Linked DNA regions of Callithrix jacchus. The protein of the gene in region 2 purifies or fractionates together with the protein of the main gene of each other region. This does not show direct contact. Links are inferred from orthologs where the notes say so. Each region holds a gene or a part of one and is shown on either strand. Other genes may lie near its edges.

What was found.
Region 1: the proteins of STK24 (region 2) and SLMAP purify together in Homo sapiens (affinity purification with mass spectrometry; 6 studies listed by BioGRID and IntAct, with this or other methods). This does not show direct contact. The link is inferred for Callithrix jacchus from reciprocal best matches to the Homo sapiens genes STK24 and SLMAP.
Region 3: the proteins of STK24 (region 2) and SIKE1 purify together in Homo sapiens (affinity purification with mass spectrometry; 4 studies listed by BioGRID and IntAct, with this or other methods). This does not show direct contact. The link is inferred for Callithrix jacchus from reciprocal best matches to the Homo sapiens genes STK24 and SIKE1.
Region 4: the proteins of STK24 (region 2) and CTTNBP2 purify together in Homo sapiens (affinity purification with mass spectrometry; 3 studies listed by BioGRID and IntAct, with this or other methods). This does not show direct contact. The link is inferred for Callithrix jacchus from reciprocal best matches to the Homo sapiens genes STK24 and CTTNBP2.
Region 5: the proteins of STK24 (region 2) and PPP2CB purify together in Homo sapiens (affinity purification with mass spectrometry; 5 studies listed by BioGRID and IntAct, with this or other methods). This does not show direct contact. The link is inferred for Callithrix jacchus from reciprocal best matches to the Homo sapiens genes STK24 and PPP2CB.
Region 6: the proteins of STK24 (region 2) and PPP2R1B purify together in Homo sapiens (affinity purification with mass spectrometry; 3 studies listed by BioGRID and IntAct, with this or other methods). This does not show direct contact. The link is inferred for Callithrix jacchus from reciprocal best matches to the Homo sapiens genes STK24 and PPP2R1B.

What each region holds. Positions count from the first base shown.
Region 1 is NC_133516.1:39,559,933-39,563,444, reverse strand, and holds the start of SLMAP (sarcolemmal membrane-associated protein), read right to left. Parts: upstream 2,013-3,512; 5' UTR 1,659-2,012; coding exon 1,461-1,658; intron 1-1,460. Other genes in the region: uncharacterized protein LOC144579547, read left to right, coding at 2,013-3,002. UniProt on the Homo sapiens protein: Associates with the striatin-interacting phosphatase and kinase (STRIPAK) core complex, forming the extended (SIKE1:SLMAP)STRIPAK complex.
Region 2 is NC_133502.1:14,170,682-14,174,181, forward strand, and holds part of STK24 (serine/threonine-protein kinase 24), read right to left. Parts: intron 3,421-3,500; coding exon 3,235-3,420; intron 699-3,234; coding exon 553-698; intron 1-552. UniProt on the Homo sapiens protein: Serine/threonine-protein kinase that acts on both serine and threonine residues and promotes apoptosis in response to stress stimuli and caspase activation.
Region 3 is NC_133508.1:152,756,826-152,760,325, forward strand, and holds part of SIKE1 (suppressor of IKBKE 1), read right to left. Parts: coding exon 3,402-3,500; intron 1,452-3,401; coding exon 1,350-1,451; 3' UTR 1-1,349.
Region 4 is NC_133512.1:88,462,301-88,466,445, forward strand, and holds the start of CTTNBP2 (cortactin-binding protein 2), read right to left. Parts: upstream 2,801-4,145; 5' UTR 2,775-2,800; coding exon 2,694-2,774; intron 2,383-2,693; exon of another isoform or gene 2,231-2,382; intron 1,762-2,230; exon of another isoform or gene 1,597-1,761; intron 1,593-1,596; exon of another isoform or gene 1,319-1,592; coding exon of another isoform or gene 1,292-1,318; intron 1-1,291. UniProt on the Homo sapiens protein: Regulates the dendritic spine distribution of CTTN/cortactin in hippocampal neurons, and thus controls dendritic spinogenesis and dendritic spine maintenance.
Region 5 is NC_133514.1:31,956,876-31,960,375, forward strand, and holds part of PPP2CB (serine/threonine-protein phosphatase 2A catalytic subunit beta isoform), read right to left. Parts: intron 2,457-3,500; coding exon 2,338-2,456; intron 1-2,337.
Region 6 is NC_133511.1:11,467,480-11,471,463, reverse strand, and holds the start of PPP2R1B (serine/threonine-protein phosphatase 2A 65 kDa regulatory subunit A beta isoform), read left to right. Parts: upstream 1-1,184; 5' UTR 1,185-1,205; coding exon 1,206-1,319; intron 1,320-2,144; coding exon 2,145-2,235; intron 2,236-2,630; coding exon 2,631-2,731; intron 2,732-3,984. UniProt on the Homo sapiens protein: The PR65 subunit of protein phosphatase 2A serves as a scaffolding molecule to coordinate the assembly of the catalytic subunit and a variable regulatory B subunit.

The DNA.
Region 1 (3,512 bases), on a different chromosome or scaffold from region 2:
TGCAAGTAAAAATCTGTCAAAAAAAAAAAAAAAATATATATATGTATATCAAGTAATCTATGAAGTATTTTAGGCACCCCTAACCAGCTTGGGGGAAGGGTCTGTTCCACAGGTAAATGAGGAACTGGTGTTACACAGAAAAGTTAACATACTCTTCAGTTCTCATGCTACACACACAATATAGATATTATGGAGCACACATAACTCGGACAGTCTTTTCCTCCTTTCTTTAAAAAATAATAAAATATTTCCTTAAATCAGTAGCTGCCAAAGTTATCATTTTTTTCTCTTCCTTTTGAGGCTCAGGTTTCTTTCACTTCAAAACATATTCTTGAAGACTTAAGTTCTTCCTTTAAGAAAGATTTAATTATTTAACTCAGAAAGAAGGGGCAAAAAGTCAGGAGGTGAAACCTGAGACAGTCCTATTAGTCTTACATAACTTAAAGTTGGAACTGATTCAGTAGCTCGGCTAAAAACCTGAGGTTTAGGCACTAAGACGAGCTCTTTAGTATACTCTCCACAAACATAAATAGTTTTTAAAAATGGAAATGATCCTATCTTTTTTCTTCATTCTTAAAAGCTCATACATGTATAGTAAGTCATGATACTAACGCAAAAATGCTAAAAATGGTTACACTTAAAATGAAAAGCACTGAATTCATCCTATCACATTTAAGTAACACTATAATTGAAAGACTAGGGTGTAATTTCAGAAAATAAGTTCACTTCCTAACACTAACTTTTGCATAGCACCTCTGTAAGTATGCAATAAGTACTTAATAAGTGCTGCAGGGAACATCAAAAAGTGATTTTCAAATGCAATATATGTATGTGCAACCAACTTGTAAAAAAAACTCTCAATATATATAAAGTACAGTTCTCATGCTTAATTAAATTAGCTTTGATTATTGCAAATGATTCCTTCAAGAGCAAGTATATAGCAAACCTTTCAAAAATCTTAGGTTTACACCAGCAACTGTCCTTACTTAGAAAGGTCTTGATCTGAACTCAACTAAAGCTATGTGTTAACTACATTTCACCACAAAGACACCTGAGCACCAGGGTAATAATGGCCACGGATTCCCCGAATTGCTTTGAGAACTGCTGCTTGCTTAATAAAGAGCTGAACTGTGAATTCACCTTTCTCAACAGACTGAAAGCAAGACGCCAAGTTTCACAATCTAGTTTGGGATTTCTCTGGGAATGACTACGTTATCAAGATGCCATAGCTCTCCTGAGGCTTTTAATTACAATACCTTCTCTGTTTTCCATTCAACCACCTCAATCAAATTTCCACTAGAACCAGGCACACAAACAGTTGATTCCTGGCTTTGCGCAAAGCCTCCTGTGGATGCAAAGCCTGGGATCCTGCAAAAGTCAGGCCTTTCAGGGAGGGCAAAGGTGGGGTGGGGGAGGAGTTTGTTAAACAATGCAGTTGGACAATGTGGTGGTGACATTACCTTGCCTGTCTTGTGATCAAACCAGACGAGAGCGTGGTTCCTTGACAGCACTTTGCAATCAAAAGTGGCATTATTCTGCGCTGGTCGACAGCGGGCCACTGAACGGCCGATTTTGATGGGCTCGTCCAGGTAGACATGACGCTCCTGAAACGGGTGCGAGTTTGGGCGGCAAGTGAAGATGGCCAAGGCTGACGGCATCGAGGATAGGCTTGGGGTGTCTCTCCTACCAGGGACAAAGAGGAGTTCCTCCGGATCCGGGCTGCCCTTCACAAGCCTATACCCCTATCCCACCCAAAATTTTAAATTAAAACAAACTGCACATTGTCTATGCATAACCAGTGAACATCAACAACTCTTCACTTGGGTGGGAAGACAAGCCAGCGCAAGCCCCATCACCTCCTCCAAAACCCAGCAGTGCCCTAATCACGAAAAGTCCCCAACGGGCAGCTTTCAGTCCATCTTCCTCTCTGGGAAGAAACGGCTCAAACATCGGGCAGCTTCGGCCAAGAAAACTCCTGGAGCACAGTTTGGGGACTGGAGGTATCCAAGCAGATGAGTCACACTCCAATTCTTGTGTTTGGTTTGAGATCGCGGCCGCTTTTCCCCCTCGGTGGCGGAAACGCTGCAGCACTGCAGCATGAAGGAAGGGTCGTGGTTCGGCGCGGCCAGGAAAGTCCTTTTGGGCCGAAGGAAGGTGTGGCCGGGCACCTCCGGGCAGCCACCGCCCGTGCTCGCCCGGAGTGGAGGGCGAGAGGTGACGGAGGCGGAGGGGCTCTAAACGGCCGGCGGGACAGTCTGCATCGCCCCTGCTGCGCGGAGGCCGCCCCGGGAAGGGGGACTCGGTCCCCGGCGTGGCGAGGCGGCAGTGCCTGGGGTCCTCAGCGCGAGGCGTGGGGGCCGGCGGGGCGCGAGCAGTGGCCAAGTCGGGACTCCTGGGCACCTGGCGGGTGTCCCCGCGACCAGGGCGGGGACCCGGCTCCGCAGGCCGGTGCGGACCGAGCGAGGCGCGACACCGGGAGGTTCGGGTTCTCGGGCGGCAGGAAGTTGGTCCCCGGACGCCTGGGCTCCTGGTCGCCGCCGCTCAGCACATGGGCCGCCTCCCCTCAGGGTCGCCCCCGCGAGGGTCGCATCTCAGGGACAGCAGTCGCAGCTCCGGGCGGACGAGAAGGTGGGGGAGGGAGACTGGCCCGGAGGTTAGGGAGAGGCCTGGAGGCCCCGGGCTGGGTCCGCCGCAGCCTCCACCGATCACGGCCAATGGAGCAAGCTCAAGCTGCGCCGGACGAGGCAGGAAACTTTCCGACCTGGTGGGGAAAATATCAAAACAAACGGCCGTCAGGCGCCTCAGCCCGCCCGCCTCAGCCCTCGCCCCCTCCAGCCAGACCCCCGCCAGCTCCCACCGCTAGGCATGACCTCCGCCGACCTCTCCACAAGCGGGCTGCGAGGATTTGGAGGCAGGACGCCACGACGGGTTCTACCTCCCTAGCCGCCACCGCCGCCTCAGCTTACCTTGCCAGCGCCGGCCGCCATAGTGACTCTGACTGAAACCTACCGGGTACACCGCCACGGGAACGCGCTCCCTTCAAGGGCCCTCCTACCCCCTCTCCCGCGCCGTAGTCCAGGAATGTCACGTGAGCGACGCCACGGAAGCCGTGTTGGTCGAGGGCAGAAAAACGGGCAAGCTAATTTCTAACGCGCCTCTAGGCGCCATCTTATTTAAGGGCTGGAAGCTTCAAACCTCGGGACAACCACAACGACCATTTTCGTTAAGGGCAAGAACAATTCGCGCGCTAGAAGATTTTCGAAACAAACCGTGCCACCTTCTTATTTTATCTACTTGGAAAGGAGATGCCAACCTTTGCTAAATTTTATTCGCTTTAATCCTCGATGAAAATACTAGTGAGCAAAAAGCAGAGGCGGCCAAAGGAGATGGTCATAAGCAGCCATCTTAGCTGTGGGCAACAGAGTCGCCCGCAGCCACCTTAAGTGTGAGCAGCCAAATTCCCTCAAGTCTTAGGATGTTCGCCTAACCGAAGGACCATCCTCCCCTCTGCT
Region 2 (3,500 bases):
ATGAGTTCCCAGGCTCCCACTTCCTGACACATCCCTGGCCCGACTGCCTCCCCAGCCTTCCCCACACAAATGGCTGCAGCCCCACTTTGCCTCTGATGCCAAAGGAATTCCTAGATGCCGAACTTGAAAGCAGTTCTCCGTAAGTCACTTCCTGGTACAGAGCTTCTACCAGACTCAACAGGGAATCACAAAAACATGCATTTCTAGCCTTTCAGGTATTCATGTGATACAATTTCACCTTGTCAGGATTTTAAGAACATGAAGTGTAATGGAAAACAAGACAGAACAGAAAGAAACAAAACAGAACACAGTGAAACAGCCAGGTCTGGACCCCTACGCACAGCTCTAAGAGTTCCCTCGAAGAAACTCCACTGACAACATCAAGAGGCTAAATGATGCCCAAACAGGCCCATGCTGTGTCTAACACAACAATCGCCACCAACCTGGATTATCTGAAAAAAACTCAACAAGAAACGAAATGCACACCAAACAAGTGACAAGGACCAGCGGCTCCATCCTACACCATGCTTGGGCCACCCAGGGGCCACTTACGCATCAGAATCCTCAGAGCTTGAGTCCTCATGGCTCTGCTCCGCCTTCCATCTCTTGTACCTGTCGATGAGCTCGGTCAAGTAGGAAGTTTTCTTTGCATTGCGTAGGATAAACTTGTGCTTCAGTAACTCCCTAGCAGTGGGTCTCTGGAAAAACACACACAACAACCCAAGTATGAGATGAAGCTCTCCATCCCCGCCGAAAGGACACACTTCAGCCTCAAAACATCAGCCTGCCTGATGACTGGACTCCACTCCACAGCTCTTCTCACTGTGACTCGCCCCAAGATGAGAGTCTCAGGACCTACGCCTGGACTCCGGGTGCTGTGGTGGGCATGGCACTGAGTTTCCAAGGAGGTCCTTAATATTCTACAGGTAGCCATCCAATGAAAGCACAAGAACTTCCCCCAGATAAATGCACTTCCACAGAAAACTCTGCACAGAACTTCAGAGGGATTATTCATGAGAGCTTATCTCCTAATTTATAAAATACTTTATGACAAATGCTGACAAAATACTTGTTCTGTGTCGCTTTTACTTTTTGTTTGAGACAGAGTCTTGCTCTGTTGCCCAGGTTGGAGTGCAGTGGTGAGATCTCGGCTCACTGCAACTTCTGCCGCACAGGTTCAAGCGATTCTCCTGCTTCAGCCTCCTAAGTAGCTGGGGCTACAGGAATGTGCCACTACACCTAGTGTATTATTTCTATTTTTGCAGAGATGGGGTTTCACCATGTTGGCCAGGCTAGTCTCAAACTCCTGACCTCAGGTGATCCACCCTCCTCAGACTCTCCAAGTGCTAGGATTACAGGCATGAGCCACCGTGCCTGGCCGCTTTGTTAACTTTCTGTATTAATGTTTGACCACATCCAGACACATAATAGAAATGTCAATTTGGAATTATCTCAAAGAAACCATAAGGGAGCCAGCAGATGCCCTTTTTCCTGTCTGTTGAAAGAGCGGGGTGCTCTTCATCACCCACTGTCCCAGTTTAGAAAGGCTGTTGCCCAGGTCCCTCCCTTCCCTTGTTATTGGGCTGAGGACTTCACCCATGCCCTGAGCTCAGCATGGCCACCGCAAGCAGCACCCAGCCAGCTACCTGCCTTGAAGATGGTGACAGTGATAGGGAATGTGCTTCCCAAGGAAACCAGCTTGGCCCAAATTGGAACAGACAGAAGGAACACCCAAACCCCAAGTCAAACCAAGATCCCACTCACTCCAAACTACGAAAGCTTGATTACAAGAGTCAAGCACATTTTCAGATTCAAACTCGTGAGAAACCTGATCACCTCAGGTATTCTCCCTCTCTGTCCACATGAGGGTAAAACCCCAACTACCCCTGAGGTGCTCATATTCTCGCCTCTCAGCCGGCTCCTCAGTAGCTGTAGGGTGGAGCGGTGTGTGCTGGGGAATAAGCTCGTATTAGACGCATGCTGTGCATGGGAAGGCATGCCTGCAAGCGGCCGCATCTCCACCAGTGCATGGTGGGTGCAACAAACATCATCATGCAATAAAATGCAGAGCATCATGGCACGTGGGACAAGCCTCACCACTACCTCACGCTGATGGGGTGATCAATCACTGGCGTGGTGGTCTCCGGCTGCATCTCCTTAGAGGTGCTTAGAAAATGTTGCATTCTGGCCAAGCACGGTGGCCCACACCTGTAATCCCAGCACTTTGGGAGGCCGAGGCAGTGGATCACGAGTTCAGGAGATCGAGACCAGCCTGGCCAACAAGGTGAAACCACATCTCTACCAAAAATACAAAAATTAGCTGAGTGTGGTGGTGCACGCCTGTAGTCCCAGCTACTCAGGAGGCTGAGGCAGGAGAATCCCCTGAACCCAAGAGGCGGAGGTTGCAGTGAGCCAAGATCACGCCACTGCACTCCAGCCTGGTGACAGAGTGAGAATCCGTCTCAAAAAAAAAAAAGAAAATATTGCATTTCCCACTTAATTCCTTTACCAAAACCGGTGTATTAGAAAACCACGGTGCTCTTGTAAAAGTAACCACCCATTTTTAATTAAGAGTTAGGAAAAGGGGTGCTCAGATTGGCCTTCAGCTGGAAAACTCAAACAAATCAATGACATACGGTGCTGCATCCAACACCGACACACACTGACAACTTTCAAATAAATGTCCTAATTCAAAGAGAAAACAGGGCAAAGCCAGGCAGTCGTTACTGCTGTAAGGCTCTGCCAGAGTCCATTAAACCTAAAAAGAGAAGTGGGCAGGAAGAGGCGGGGATAGCAAAGAGGGGCTTGGTTGTATTTGTATTTTCTAATCTTTTGTTTCCTAACATATGCCATCTGGAAATTGAAAACATTTACTTTAAAGACATATTTAGCCACTTATTTCCAAGCTAAACTTTCCCATTCCTAAAAACAGTGTAACAGTTTATGGCCTGATCCTCTATCGATATTAAACTTTGATGATTCCACATTTAATATTAAGGAGAATATTCTTCAGATTCAATGAAGTATGAGATGGTAGAAATCTAAAGCAAAATAAGGAAATTGCTAATACTTATAAAATGTATTTGCAAACCAAAGAGGTCAATCATACTTATTTATAGAAAAAGAAAAATGAGGAATTCCATGAAGACAGCTGAAAAGAAATCCCAACAGGATGTATCTAAACCAAGTCAAAACTCACATAGGGAGGGATGTTCAGATCCCCAGGAAACTTACAAAGCTCGGCTCCTTATTCAAACAGGCCTCCACAAACTCCTTGAGGGGTTTGCTGTAGTTTCCTTCCAATGTTGGTGGGTTGTTCTTTGGAATGAGGAATAAAACTTTCATGGGGTGCAGCTCGGAATGAGGTGGTTCCCCTCTTGCAAGTTCAATAGCTGTTATGCCCAGGGACCAGATATCTGCCTGCAACAAGAAAAGCACCTTTACCAACACCAAGCAGGAATCAATTCCAATTAACAATATTTAGGGGAAAAACGGTAAAC
Region 3 (3,500 bases), on a different chromosome or scaffold from region 2:
TTTTTATCTCAATGTTGCCTACATAGCACTATGAGTGTAATAATTCTCATTAGGTAATAAAACTGCTTCCTTACCTTTGTATATAGCTTTAAAAAGAAAAAAAGCTACTTTTATGTAAAAAATAGACCTAAAAAGAAAGTCAACTATTAGTACTAGGAGTGAAAGGCATCTAATCCAAGTAAGTGACAGTTCTTAACTACAACATGGAAATTATATAAAAGTTAAAATAGAATGTAGAACTAGTAGGATAACATTGAAAAATTGACTCAGGGAGGCTGAAGCGAGTGGATCATGACATCAGGAGATCGACACCATCCTGGCCAACATACTGAAACGCTGTCTCTACTAAAAATCCAAAACTTAGCTGGGCGTGGTGGCATGTGCTTGTAATCACAGCTATTTGGGAGGCTGAGGCAGGAGAATCACTTGAACCAGGGAGTTGGAGGTTGCAGTGAGCTGAGATCGTGTCACTGCACTCCAGCCTGGCAACAGAGTGAGACTCTGTCTCAAAAAAAAAAGCTAAGAAAAATTGACTCATTATATTTGGGTTTTTTGATTTTCTTGTGTTTTTGGCTGATTGTATTTAATAAAAGCTAATTTTAGTATTTGAAATAAGTGCACTTACATGTGTGCATGCACATACACAAGACAAGTTCCTCAGCTTTGAACAATGTGAACTTTGAACAATGTATGACAACTATACTATCACTGGGGAAAAATATAGCTGACTTATTTCCAAGTATGTTTCCTGGGACTAGCAGTAGGTTCTCTCAAATTAAAAGCAAAGGCACCAGGCCATAAAGTGCCAATTCTTAGCACCAGAGAGACTTAAAACTTCACAGGCGAATGACATTACAAATCAGAGAATCAACTGATTTAGTTCTGTGGAATTGTATTATTTATATCAAATGAAAAAAAAAAGATAAACCAAGGTTTATGCCAAATAAATTTAAAAAGTTAAATCTCTCCTAAAATTTCCTAGGAGTGTATTTTACAATGCTATACATAATAAAATTGCTGGCTTATAAAAAAATGCTCAAAGTTTCAGAGATGTGAAAAATAACAATGAATTGAAAACACAGTTTATATAAATCAAGGTCCCAGAAATAAAAATTAAAAGTAGTCTCTTTGAGAAAGGAATAGTGAAATTCAGCATGTATCCACATTAATACATCTGAGAACCGTTTTCATGGACAGCAATATTGACTGGAAATTCTAAATTGCCACCTGATAACTGTAATCAAGGTTAAATCAAATCTGAGGCAAGACACTTAATGAACAGTACTTGAATGGGAAGATAGTAACTTCCTTCTTTGATAGACAATCTCCAGCCATCATTCAGAGCTCAGTTATTTGATGGCTTGTGAAGTGGTGTCCATTGAGTTTTCCTTTCTGGCTTGAAGAGACTCACTGCTGATGGACAATAATTCTCGAAGTTCCTTATTTTCAAGCTGGAAAAAAAAGGCATGTTTATTTCTGGTATTTTTTACTGTCAAACTGTGTTATAAAAACACATTATTTTGGGCCAGGAGCAAAAAACATTATTTTAATTAAAAAAATTTTAAGGAAACAAAAAGTCCACGAATTGAGAATTTCCTTAAATACTACTTATTTATTCATTTAACAAACATTTACATGTAGAATGTAGGCAATGATACTCTTTTGTAGTAGTAATTTACTGAGTAATTTCTATATACCAACTGTGAGGCTTGTAAAGGAAAAACAAAAAACAAGGTCCCTCTCCACCTGAGGAATTCACTGTTATATTTTTCATGGTTCCCACAGTTTTACTATTATTTATTTTATTTAAAAAATTCCTAATAATCATTTCACTCTGATTAGTCTCCACTCCTGGATATCTTACAGTTCTAGAGAAACGGAAGAAAAGGGGCTTATTAAGCATGTAGCTGGGTACTGCATGGGTGCACTGTATATGTTATCCCACAATAACCCGTAGGGTAGGGTATCATTGCCTACATCCATATTCTACTTAAGATGAGGATACTCTGTCTTACAAAATTCCAAAAAGTTGTCAAAATTCAGACAACTTGGATGTGATACTGCTGGGGTCTGAATGTGGTCATGTTTTTTCTACATGAAGTATTAAAGTAGAACTTGTCCCACATTTCCTTAGGGCTATTTCCATAAGTGAGGAAATTGGGGACAAATAGAAGGTCATTCTATCATTTCACTGGCTCCTAATTACTACTTGGGACCTGTCACTACCTTCGATTTCTAGACAGGGTAGCTTGCACTCTTCATCCTTATTCTCTGCAGAAAATTCTGGTAAACCAAAGCATTTTTAGCTTCACCAAGATGTGTGGAAGCCGCAGATAGAGTAACTAAGAGATTAGAGCCTGTAGTCGATAAATCTACCCCATGAAGTGCTTCCTTCAGTATTTGTATCTGTCTCCTAGCACTTACACATACTATTTCATATCATATAAGTACTAGGGTTATTCCTTCCACTAGACTCTGGGTAGGTACCTGTTTTTTCTCTCTGGTATTTGTCAAAAGGCCCAGGACAGCACCTTGTAATAAGCAGCACTCAAACCAGTAACTGAAATGCTTCGCTTTTTTTTTTCTTTTAAATTTTTGAGACGGTCTCACTCTGTCGCTCAAGTTGGAGTGCAGTGGTACATGTGATTGTGGCTCACTGAAACCTCGACTTCCTGGGTTCATGTGATCCTCCCACCTCAGTCGCCAAGTACCTGGGATTACAGGAGCACACCACCACACCTGGCTAATTTTCTGTATTTTTTTTGTAAAGACAGGGTCCCGCCATGTTACCCAGGCTGCTCTTGAACTCTTGGGCTCAAGCAATTCACTTGCCTTAACCTCCCAAAATTGAAATGTTTTTCCTTAACAATTTTATGGGCACACTATACCCCAAACCCTTTTTTGTAACATATTCCTATTCTAATCAAAATATGACATAAGCATAGCTTTTAAGAAATCAAGACTACATGGCTTATACAAGCGGTTCTTTGGCTTTGCACCCCAAATGCAACCACTATTTTATCTATTTCTTTTGGTATTTAATTCATAATTCTAAATAATACATTTATACTGCTATTTCCTGATCAAAGATTTTAGTTAGGTATTACCTATTTCCCTTCTTATTATGGCAGATGAGGATTTTATCTCACATATAACTTCTCCCCTCCACTCCCACTACCTTCGCATGATATCTCAACTTCTTGCCAATACATAGTTGGTATTTCCTTTGATTGCTGTTTACTATATTTTCTTTCTTCATAGGGTATGAAGGAGGAGTTTTAATTTTAAATCATAAACACACAGAAAACATCAATATATTACAGTGATAGGACAGTGAGGGTGTATCTTCCAGACTCTGGAAACTCTGAAATACTGTGAACCCAAAATGACAACAATCTTACCTCTAATTGGGCTAATTTTTCCTGAATCTTACAAAACTGGTCATCATCCACCTGAACTGCTTTCCTCATCACTTCTCCCATTTCACAGATTCTGTCAAT
Region 4 (4,145 bases), on a different chromosome or scaffold from region 2:
ATTATTTGGTGACAATAAAAAGTATGAAGATTTCTGTTTTCCATACTGCCTTATCCATTAGGAGTTATTTTCAGAGTAGAAACAGCAATATGGCCTATAAAAGTCATCACATTTGGCTAAGGCACTGAAAATAACCCAGGTTTCCCGGCATGGTTCATGGCAAAGACTATTAATACAGTCCTACTAAATAATGTAACTGTTACCCAGCTTTAAACTTGGTATGCTTTTAGGATTTAAACAGCTAAGAATGAGGATCACAAACTAAATTTAAAACATTCCACTAAAAATGATATTAAACTGAAAACTATAAATTAAGCTTGTTTCTAAGCAACAATCTAAATAGTCAAAGCTTAGTGAAAACACTGACTTTCAAAAATAGCCTACTGCTTCAGAGCTTCCATTGGCTCCTTACTGCCAAATGTATACATAAAAATGTACAATATGTAAACTGATTTGAAATTAAATAAATCTCCAAAATGCAAAGTGAATTGTTCACTAAAATAAAAATTAAGTTCTCAGTCAACAAGAACCCAACGTGCATTAAAACGCCTTTGATTTTTAAGGAGCAACTGTGATGACACATATCACTCCTCTACACTAGCTTTCCTTTCATTTCAAAATTAATCTACAAGTCAAGTGGCTGATATGAGAGAACCATGCCTTATTAAGTCAAAACTGGAGAAGTAAAATAAAATGCCCAATTTACTACATAAGAAGACATCATCGAAATTTTACTAAAATGTCAGAAGTTTATTTCTTTTTAACTACTAGATGAAGAATCCTTATTGCATCTGGCAACCCTAAAGGATTCTACGGAAATAGCAAAGAAGGTTCACTTTCGAAGATTTTCCATGGCTCTGCCCATTAACAAGGGTGAAATTATCAAATCCCCAAATATCAGCAGTGAAAATCAGACTTGAAAATTTTAAACGGCAGAGAGGGAACACTGACCTTGTTAACACAGAAATCTTCCTGGCGACCAAAGTTTTGTTTATGATCTAACTAAACAAAACTATATATCAGCTCTACAGACCATCAATCAGATGTTTGTGTTTGGGTTAATTGTCAGGTGATTAAAATAGAGGGTAATAGAAAGAAACCCATTCTAAGTAGATTAAGTAAACAAATTAAACCTGGGGAACAAGAAACACACCCCTACACACACCCACACACCCCTGCACGAACCCCTGCGCGCGCACACATCACACCTGCACACACACCCCTACACAGGCACCCCTACAAACACACACACACCTCGCACCCTCTTTTTCCTCTTTCTTCTCCTTCCCACCTTTTGGGGATGAAGGCACCAAATCATTTCCACTTCCCCGAGAGCCTTGTCTTAATAGCTAGTTTCCTTACTGTGCCCCACAGAGGGGAGCTGATTCACGTTAAGTGGCCAGGTTTCGTTGGAAATCTTAAAGCTCTGATTTCACAAAAGTTCGTTTTCCGAAAAGTTCAAATCAAAACTTGCCAGTTTTACAAGTGGAAATCAGCAGTCCTCCTCCCCCTGTTTCTCCCTCCACTCCCAGGCTCAGTTCCTCTCACCCCAAGTACCTTCCTCCACATCTCTCTTCCCTCTCCAGAAAGCCCTACCTCCAGAGGGTGGGAGGAAGTTAAAGCGGCCCTGGTTGTTTATGCCTGGCCCTGCCCTCTCCCGCTTTTGCACGGACTCTGCTCAGGTCTTGAGAGGAAGGGAGGGGGCGTCTACGCCCCGCTCGCTCCAACCCACCCCGATCCTCCGGCAAGAGCAGCTAGATCGGGCCAAGAGTGGGAGGCGCTCACAGATCTGCCTTTCTCTGCAGATCCTTGCAGCTCCTGCGAGGCTGCTTCCCAAACACTGAGAACGTTTTCCACCAGGGAAATGTGGGTCCAGCCCTCCCCCAAGGTAGAGGCTGGAAACCACCAGTGAGTATCTGCCCGGAGATATTCAGGGGGTGAAAGTGAGGACCAGTTATAAATGGTAGCGCATTGGCCTTCTAGACCCCAAAGAAGGAGAACAATGTCTTGAAACCAGGTGCAGAACCTCCACCTCGCCCGGGCATTGCCTCGGGAAGAACCAACCCCTTCACCCCACTCCAATCACCACCACCAAGTGATGGGGTAGCAGGCTGCTAGGACCTAAAGCGCTGGCCTCAGCGGCAGCAGCGCCAACAGCTGGACACGGGGTCTCTCCCAAAGGGCCTCCCGAAGGCACCGGAACAGATGCACACAATGGGCATCCCCACACCTGCTGGGCGATGGCCCGCCTCCCCCTCGAAGCTCTCCCAGGTCCGCTGAGAGGTACCAGGCACCCGCGAGACACGCGCTCGCAACCATGCGCGCAGCGAGAGGTGAACAATGGGGGGTCAAATTCGCCAGGAAACCCGTCCCAGCCTTCGCCCCCCGCCAGAATCCACCGCAGCGGAGGGAGTGGGCGAAGGGGTCGAGTGGGACGCACGCAGGAGGCTGGGAGAACCAGGCGACCTGGGGTCGCTCCCCAGGGGCGCGGAAGGGGCAGAACGGAGCCCCAGCCCGGGTGGCCGCTCCGCTCCCACCGGCATCGCCTTGCGGGCACCCCGAGGAAGGGGCACCCGAGGGTCCCGGGCTTACAGAACGCCCCGGCGGTGCGGAGCCCGGTCCAGCTGGGGCCCCGGCGCCGCCCCCTGCCCGCGTCTACACTCGCCCCACACCCGCCCCGGGAACTCGGTTACCGCCGCCTCCGCCGCTGCCCCCGCCGCGTCCTCTGGAGCCCGGGACAAGTCGGGCTCGCAGCTCGCGCCGTCAGTCGCCATCTTCCTGCTCTAGCGGATCCGAATGCGAGCTCGGAGCCGCGGCTCCGGACTCAGCCCTCTCCGCGCGGGCGGCGCTTAACCCGCTGCTGTCCGGGACGCGGGCTCCGGGAGCCGGGCGCAGGGAGCCGAGAGTCGCCGAGCTCTCTCCGCCCCTCGCCGCCGCCCTCGCCGCTTAACCCTCTGTGCGCCGGAGCGCCCCGCCTCGGTCCCGCCCCGCGCCCTGCTGGGCCAGCCGCGGGCTTGTGGAGGTGCGAGAAATGGGCGCACGACCTGACTCCGCTGCGGTTCTGCGCACTGGCTAGGGATCAAAGACCAGGGAAGAGGTGAAGGGAGAAAGCGTGCCGCAGAACCCCCACCAAGCCCGAGAAATCCTTGCACAGACCGGATTAAATGTCAGGCCTCCTGAAACTGAATTCTCTGAAAGATCAGGGAAAATCCTACACTTCAGCTCCCTCTATCCCGCCCCGAGGAATCACACAAGGCACCCCTTTCTTCTTAAATTGCTTTCTTAAATTTCACCGCCGCCAGGGTGTTTTTACCCTCCCAATGTATGTGTATATACACCTGGCTCTGATTTACTTACTCTATCTTGACTCTAGTCCTTCTCCAAAAACAGTCCTCAGATGAAAACGATGTGTCTGTTCTGTTTTCTTTTAGTGCATGGCACTGGCCCCTCAGCACCTAACTCTGTAATCTCCTTTTCAGGGAACTTGTATCTGGCTGTCTTATGTTCTTTGACCCCTCAAGTCTGAGGTCTCTTCTGAAGGACTAACCAAGAAGTGTTAAATGTCATAGCTTTAAAAGCTAAATGTTATGCCCTCTACTTTTGAGAGTTTAAAAAAATTATTCCCTACGTGTGAGGATACGTGTACGTATACACAAAAAACAATCAAAAACCATCTTTGTAAACTTAGATTTTATGGGAATTACCCAACTCAGAAGACTTTTCATGAGGTGAGTGAATTAGGCCCAAACACTCAGACTTCCCTTCCCACATCTAACTCATTTCCTACCCTTTGCTGCCAATTTCCAGAATGTGAAAATCTATCACCTTACCAAGACCATATGGTACAGCCCTTCCCAAATCACCAGATCCCTAAAAATGTGTCGAATGCATAAAATCAAATTGAGACATTCAAGCTTTGTCTCAAAAAAGTAAAATCAAACCACAACCAAATCCTGCACTTGAAATTCTGGAAGATGAATGACTGGAATGTTCAGTCCAAGAGTTACAGATCAAAGCTTTTTTTTTTTTTTTTTTTTTTTTTTTTTTTTAATGGCAGGTCTTAATGAAAGATTTTGAGAATTTAATTGCTCCACTTTCCAAATTGGATCTAAATATGACACAAACCCGGGCAGAGAAAACCTTTT
Region 5 (3,500 bases), on a different chromosome or scaffold from region 2:
AATGGGACATTAAAGATAATATATTGCAGTTAACTCTGGAATTCAGGTCACTGGGGACTGATCTTGTTTTTTTGGTGGTTTATTTTAATTTTTGTTTAGTGCCTTAGCTGTTAAGTCCACTTCCCCAACAGTGTACAGCCCCTGCAGCCCTGTTCAGATGTTTTTACTTGGGGGTTTTTTTTTTCAGATGGAATTTTGCTCTTGTTGCCCAGGCTGGAGTGCAATGGTGTGATCTCAGCTCACCGCAACCTCCACTTCCTGGGTTCAAGTGATTCTCCTGCCTCAGCCTCCCGAGTAGCTGGGATTACAGGCAGGCACCACCATGCCAGGCTAATTTTGTAGTTATAATAGAGATAGAATTTCTCCATGTTGGTCCAGCTGGTCTTGAACCCCTGACCTCAGGTGATCTGCCCGCCTTGGTCTCCCAAAGTGCTGGGATTACAGGCATAAGCCACTGCACCTGGCCTGTTTTAATCTTTCAGCCTGGTTACTGAGAGGCTGTCTTTGGGTACGCGCATAAGCCACTTACTGATAAAGGTTGTACTTAAGTTCCCTTGGCCAGTTAGATCTTAAAGCTCACCCTAATGACCACTGGAAATGTTATGTGACTTGCAGATTGCTATTGAAGCTGAAGGAGTTTACATTTTGGCTTCCCATTCAGCCAGGGACTAATAGCTTGGATCGTCCTTTTCCACTCAGTCCAGAGAGGATGTAACCTTGGGCATGCACATATGCTGCCAGACTGTCAGGGATGACGGTGATTTTATTTTAAAGCCTGGCTTCCTAGGAGGTGCCCCTGGGTCGGAGTAATTGATTATTCAGTCAATGATTAGAGGTTGTGTTTAAGTCTCACACACCAGTGAGGGTTACACCATTTGTTGATCAGTCTACTTATCCATTCCCCAGGGCTGCCATAACAAATTACCAAACTGTACAGCTTATACAACAGGGATTTATCCTCTCAGAGTTCTGGAGGCTACCACTCTGAAACTAAGGTGCTGTCAGGGCCATGCTCTCTCTGAAGGCTCTAGGAAAAATCCTTCCTAGCCTCTCCCCAGCTTCTGGTGGCTCTGGCAATCCCTGGCTGGTGGATGCATCACTTGAATCTCTGGCTTCACACAGCATTCTCCCCTGTGTGTTTCTTTTCGTCTTACTAAAATGCCATTCGGATTGGATTTAGGCCCACTCCAATCCAGTATAATCTAATCTTTAATAATTATATCTGCAAAGATCCTATTTCTAAATAGCATCTCATTTTCAGGTTCTAGGTGGATATGAAATTTTTTTCTTTTGGGGGAGACATTATTCAACTCAGTACAATCTATGTCTGGGGGGACATTATTCAACTCAGTACAATCTATGTCTGGCTTGAGAATCTCACAGAATAACCCACATCCTACTCTGACTGCTCCTGAGTGGCTATGGCTAGTGCCTGTGCACAGCCTTCCTGTCCCCCAGAGATGACTGTAATCCCAGAAGGGCTTTTCTTGGCTTTTTCCCTGGTGCTATCTGTTGAAGAACTTGTTGCTCTGCTCTTTTGCATGTCGCTCCTAGTATCATAGGTGCTATAACAGCCCTTTTAATTGGTCTCCACCATGACATCCACTGTTTGCCACAAAGCACTCAGATTTGGAATTCTCCATCATCTAAGTAAGGTAAGTCCTCTAAGGCAGAGCTGAAGAACTTCTGTGACCTGACTTTCCTCCTGAGCAGAACTTCTGTGCCACTGTGTACTCAGGGATACCATCTGGTTTATGAGCAGGTGCTAGGGTAACAGCATTGGGAAACCCAGGATTCTCATCTGCCGTCCATGCCTGGAGCACAGCTTCTGGTTCAGGAGCTGGGTCAGGGAGGGGGCCTCAGCCTGCTTGATGGCATCTACCAGGAGTAGAGCTTCGGTAACTCCAGACTAAGAGAGCTGGCATCTGATCTCTGGGAGTGAAACCACAGCTCCAACACTGGGTGAAGAGGGGGATCCCTTAGCTTCCTGACTATACCCACCCAGAGTAGAGCACCTGTAGTCATTTCTGTGAGAGGAATCTGGGAGGATTTGGAGGGAGCAAGTCATAGCTCAAATGCTAAGACTACTATTACTATTACTGAGATTTAGTAGGTCTTTTTGAATTAACTGTTTCTCCATCTACGATATGCCCTTAGGACAATTTCCAAAAGCTTTGAAAAATTATTTTTAAAATAATATTCTCCAGCCAATGGCTGTTTTTGCTGGGGAGGGCATTTGCCCTTATCCTACCATTTCAGAAGCAGAAATCTATTTCTAACATTTAAAATTTTCCTTCTGAAATTAAGTATATACAATTAAAATTTACAGTTACTCACAAGGAATATTTTAAAGTGTCATCTAATTCCATGATAGCAGCCTGGTTCCCACAACGATAACAGTAATTGGGTGCACTGAAAATGGTAACCACATTCCGATCATGACACCAATTGTATCCCTGCAGTATAAAAACAAATTCAACATTTCATTACAGTATTAGGATTCTGACACAAACACATTTAAAAAAACTAAATTCAAAAACTACAAGTACCCTCTGTGGAAATGTAGTCGGTCTACATTAGTTTATGAGGGCTCCATCTTTAACAGTTTGTGTACCTATACAGAATGCTGTGCAATTCTTGGGCCCAGGGTTTTGTTAAATGCAGCTCGCTTATTGTTGTTTTGCCTTATCTATGCTTGAGATCTTGGCAAGGCTGTGTACTAAATTTTTTCCCAAAATCATAATACATTTCTTAATTTTCCCTTATGTCAATTTTTGCTTTATATATTTTGAAGCTACTACTAGGTAAACACAAATTTAAAATACTTTCTCCCTAGAGAACTGGGCCAGTTTTCATCAATAATCTTTTTATTTCTAACAATGCCTTTTATCAGAACCTATCTCATCCATACACACACACACACACACACACACACACACACACACACACACCCCGCCCCCCCCCCCCCCCATGGCCCAGGCTGGAGTGAATTGGTGTGATCTAGGCTCACTGCAACTTTCGCCTCCCGGGTTCAAGCAATTCTCCTGCCTCAGCTTCCTGAGTAGCTGGGACTGTAGGCGCATGCCGCCACACTAGGCTTATTTTTTGTATTTAGTAGTAGAGACGGGGTCTCTTGAACTCCTGAGCTCAAGTAATCCGCCCACCTCAGTCTCCTAAAGTGCTGGGATTACAGGCATGAGCCACCGCACCTGGCCTATTTGCTATTTTGATTATCTACTTTATACACTAACACACCATTTTCTAACTGTTACCTCCAGTTTGTGGTGTCTTTTTTTTTTTTTTCTTGAGACAAGGTCTCATTCTGTTGCCCAGGCTGGAGTGCAGTGGTATGATCATAGCTCACTGCAGCTTCAACCTCCTGGCCTTAAGTGACCCTCTCACCTCAGCCTCCCAAGTAGCTGGGACAACAGACATATGCCACCATGCCCAGCTAAGGTTTTGACTTTTTTTAGAGAGATGAGGTTTCATTATGTTGCCCA
Region 6 (3,984 bases), on a different chromosome or scaffold from region 2:
TGTTTTTTTAGTATAGATGGGGGTTTCACCAAGTTGGCCAGGCTGGTCTTGAACTCCTGGCCTCAAGTGATCCACTCGCCTCAGCCTCAGAGCCCCATGTTTTAAAAAAGTTTGCCTCCTACACACTGCATTAATAGTTTTAATTTTATTAATCAGGCACATAGAATTACCATTTCAGAACTTGCGATCACCATATGTAGTTATCACTCCAAGCTGCTTAAATTCCAGTCTAAAACAAACAAAAAGGACATTCTAGTTATTCTGTGCTGCCCTGACACGGGTAGGTGAAAACTTGCCATTCAGTTTTGTAAGAAGGAGCTCCCAGATCTCCACTTCTTCCCCTTGCTGCCTCTGAGGACTCTTGGGGGTTTAGGGAGGCCAGTCTGGGTTTTCTTATTCAAGCAAAGTAGCCACCCCACCCAGTTTGGAAGGATTAAAGCTTGTCCTAGTTTTGCTTCATTGTTGTACTTCTAGCATGCTAAAGAGCTGAAAAATGGGAGGAAGAAAATACAACAGAAGGCACCATTCCAGTACCAAACTGAAAAGAAACACAAAAACAAGAGAGCAGCATGTTTTTAACAGCTTGCGTGGAAAAAATATTGACTGGGGAGTTTGGACAGCACTGTTCATTTTCTCTCACCGCCCGCGTTATTTGTCTTATGGAGCAGGAGCCAGATACCATTCTGGAGAACAGGCCGAGGGAAGAGGTGGAGGGGTTCTGTGGAAGCTTGAGGCTGAGCTGAGTAATTAGGGCTGGAGATCCTGTGGCTCAGTGCCAGGATGCAGTCAGGGGAGGTGCTAAAGCCTTCTTCCTCCTGGCCTCGGGCACTCTCTTTGGTCCGCCTGAGTCTTAAGAGGGCACAGCGCGGATCACCCAGGTAGGTCCCTGGCCCCTTCAGACGAGCCGGATGAATCACTGTCCCTGTTTCTTTCGGCTAGGGAAAGGACGCAGGGGTTCCATTCGCTTTCTCAGTCCACCCATCTTCTTGAGTTCAGACCTACAACTCCTGCATTGGGGGTCGGAAGGGAGCCTTAATCATCGGGACAGAAACTCAGCTCCTCAACCTCGGCTCAACTCGCGTGGCAGCTTTAGTCCCTCCTGCCAGGGCGCGGGGCGGGGCCTGGGAGCGGGGCGGGGGCTGGGCGCGGGGCGGGGCCTGGGCGCGGGGCGGGAGGCGGTGACCAGCAGTAGGAGGAGAAAGAACATGGCGGGCGCAGCGGGGCCCGGGACCTGCCCGGGAGCAGCCGGCGGAGGTGGAGACGATTCGCTATACCCTGTCGCGGTTTTAATCGACGAGCTCCGCAATGAAGACGTGCAGGTACTGGACTGAGCCCGGGGAGCCGAGGTGGGCCCGGTCGGTCGCGTGGTAGAGAAGGGGGAAGGCCTGTGCCGCGGTGGCTATGGCCGGGGGACTGATTGAACCGGACTCAGCAGAAACTTGGAAGGGCAGGCGAGGAAAGATCCGCGAGGGGACGTGGTGGCACGCCCCGACTCTCCCGGTGACCGCTCCAGTACCCCTGCTTCGGACCCCCTGAGGCGTCCGCCCGGAGCCTGGCCTTTCCAGGGCGGTTGTCCGGGAACCCGCTTCCCGCCTGGGCCGCCCCGCTTCGGGCTGTGAGGCAGCTGGAGGAGCGCGGTGCGGGGCCGAGACCGGGCTGGAGCGACTGAGGGCGCAGGATGCGCAGAAGCCCTTTGAAGTGTCCCGGAATCCCTTCGTCTCGGCCTAGAACTGGCTCGGCTTGTTGGGTAGAAAGAGGAGGTGGGATTGCCGATCAACCTGGACGTGTCGTATCAGCTTTACGGGAACTTTTCTTTGAAACGACAGGCGTTGTATTCGACCGTTTCACCTGCTTCACCACTGCCAAAGTGCCCTCTTTTAAAAATTATCTTACTTCCTGGGTGTTGTATTATCTTTCATTCATTTCTCTTCCGGGGCCTTCTGAGTGTTTCTCCTAGGAAATCTTCCGCTGGCTAGTGAGACCGAGTTACATTCCTCTTGGAAGTCCCTTAACAGTGAAATGTAAATGAAATGTTAGTTATCCTCATTCTTACCCGTGTCATTGTTTCACCTGTTAGCACCTTTTGTCTTTTGATCTAAATTTAACCGTTTCTTTACATTGATTTTCTTTCTCCTTTTCTGAAGCTCCGACTCAACAGTATTAAGAAGTTATCAACAATTGCCCTAGCACTTGGAGTAGAAAGGACACGAAGTGAATTGCTGCCATTCCTTACAGGTATGTGAACCTTTGTTTAAAGAAAGGCAGGGACATTCCATTTTCCAGTAGCTTTCAACACTGACTTTTTTAGTTTGTTACCCACATTAAAATGAGCCGGGTGGTTTATGTGCAAAAGAAACAGAACAGAGTATATTGTTACTTGTGGCTAGATATATTCAAACAATAACCATTTAGCTATTGGGAAAGTAATTGCTATGAGAATATGAATTTCCAATTTGTTGTGCAAAACAGATCTAGGAAGAGAGTTGATTGAGGAGAAGGAAGAAAATGCTGTTAGGATTTTGACTGGGCCACCTTACTGGTTGCATAGTGAATCTGGTCCTAGTTTTGCGTCAGTGTACGGCTGCTGTGGGAGAGCTGTGTTGATGAGTCCCTGTTGTTGTCACTTCCAGATACAATTTATGATGAAGATGAGGTACTATTAGCTCTTGCTGAGCAGCTGGGAAATTTCACCGGCCTAGTGGGAGGTCCTGACTTTGCCCACTGTCTGCTGGTGAGTATACTGCTGCTTACCCTCCTTCCAGAACTTTTGCAGTATAAATGATACATTGTTTCGTGACAGGCATACTGCAGCATTTTTTATACAGATCTTTTATGGGCAGATTATCATAATGTTAGTCACTGAGAGAATAAATAATGTAAGCATTTTGGACTCAACCCATTCTTTTTTTTTTTTTCTATGAATAAGATAACTTTGTCCTTCTGTGTCTGTATACGTATTAGTTTAGATGTAGGGAGAAAAAGGATTTGATTGTTTTTATGGTTCCCCTCCCCCCAGGTTGAAAGTCTTAATTCTCATCTAGTGGCATTTTGTCTTTCTCAGTATAACTTTTGCTTCTGACTTTGTGAGTTTGATGAATTTAGTTCAATTTAATTGACATTTATTGAGAGTCTGCTTTATCAGACACATCGTTAATTTGCAGTGTTAATGTGAGTGGGCTTGTGGTACAAGCCTGTATAGTACCAGCTACTCAGGAGGCTGAGATGGGAGGATCACTTGAGCCCAGGAGTTTGAATCCAGCCTGGGCAACGTAGTGAGACCCCTATCTCTTAAAAAAAAACGTGACCACCAGGCTGGGTGTGGTGGCTCAAGCCTGTAATCCCAGCACTTTGGGAGGCCGAGGCGGGTGGGTCACGAGATCAAGAAATCGAGACCATCCTGGTCAACATGGTGAAACTCCGTCTCTACTAAAAATACAAAAAATTAGCTGGGCATGGTGGCGTGTGCCTGTAATCCCGGCTACTCAGGAGGCTGAGGCAGGAGAATTGCCTGAACCCAGGAGGCGGAGGTTGCGGTGAGCCGAGATCGCGCCATTGCACTCTAGCCTGGGTAACAAGAGTGAAACTCCATCTCAAAAAAAATAAATAAATAAAAATTACCACCAAAGTAAATGGAATGAGGTCCCTGCTTTTATGTGCCAGCAAATAATTACTGTGCAGTCTTATATGGAAAGATAGAAGTATCTACAAAATACCCACATAATAAAGGGGAGAAAGGGATTAACTCAGGGTGATCAGGAAAGACCTCTTGGGAGATGATGTTTGAACTGGGTTTTAAAAGATGACCAGGAATTCAACAGTTGGACAAAGTAGGATGTATGCTTCAGGGCTTTCAGTACTGGGTATGTAATACGATTCTCGCAATTTCGATCTCTAGCTCTGACTTTTCCATGGAACTCCTGAGGTAGATTGATTAATAGATAAGTATGAATGTGTATATATGGAGAGATCTATATTTTTCTATCT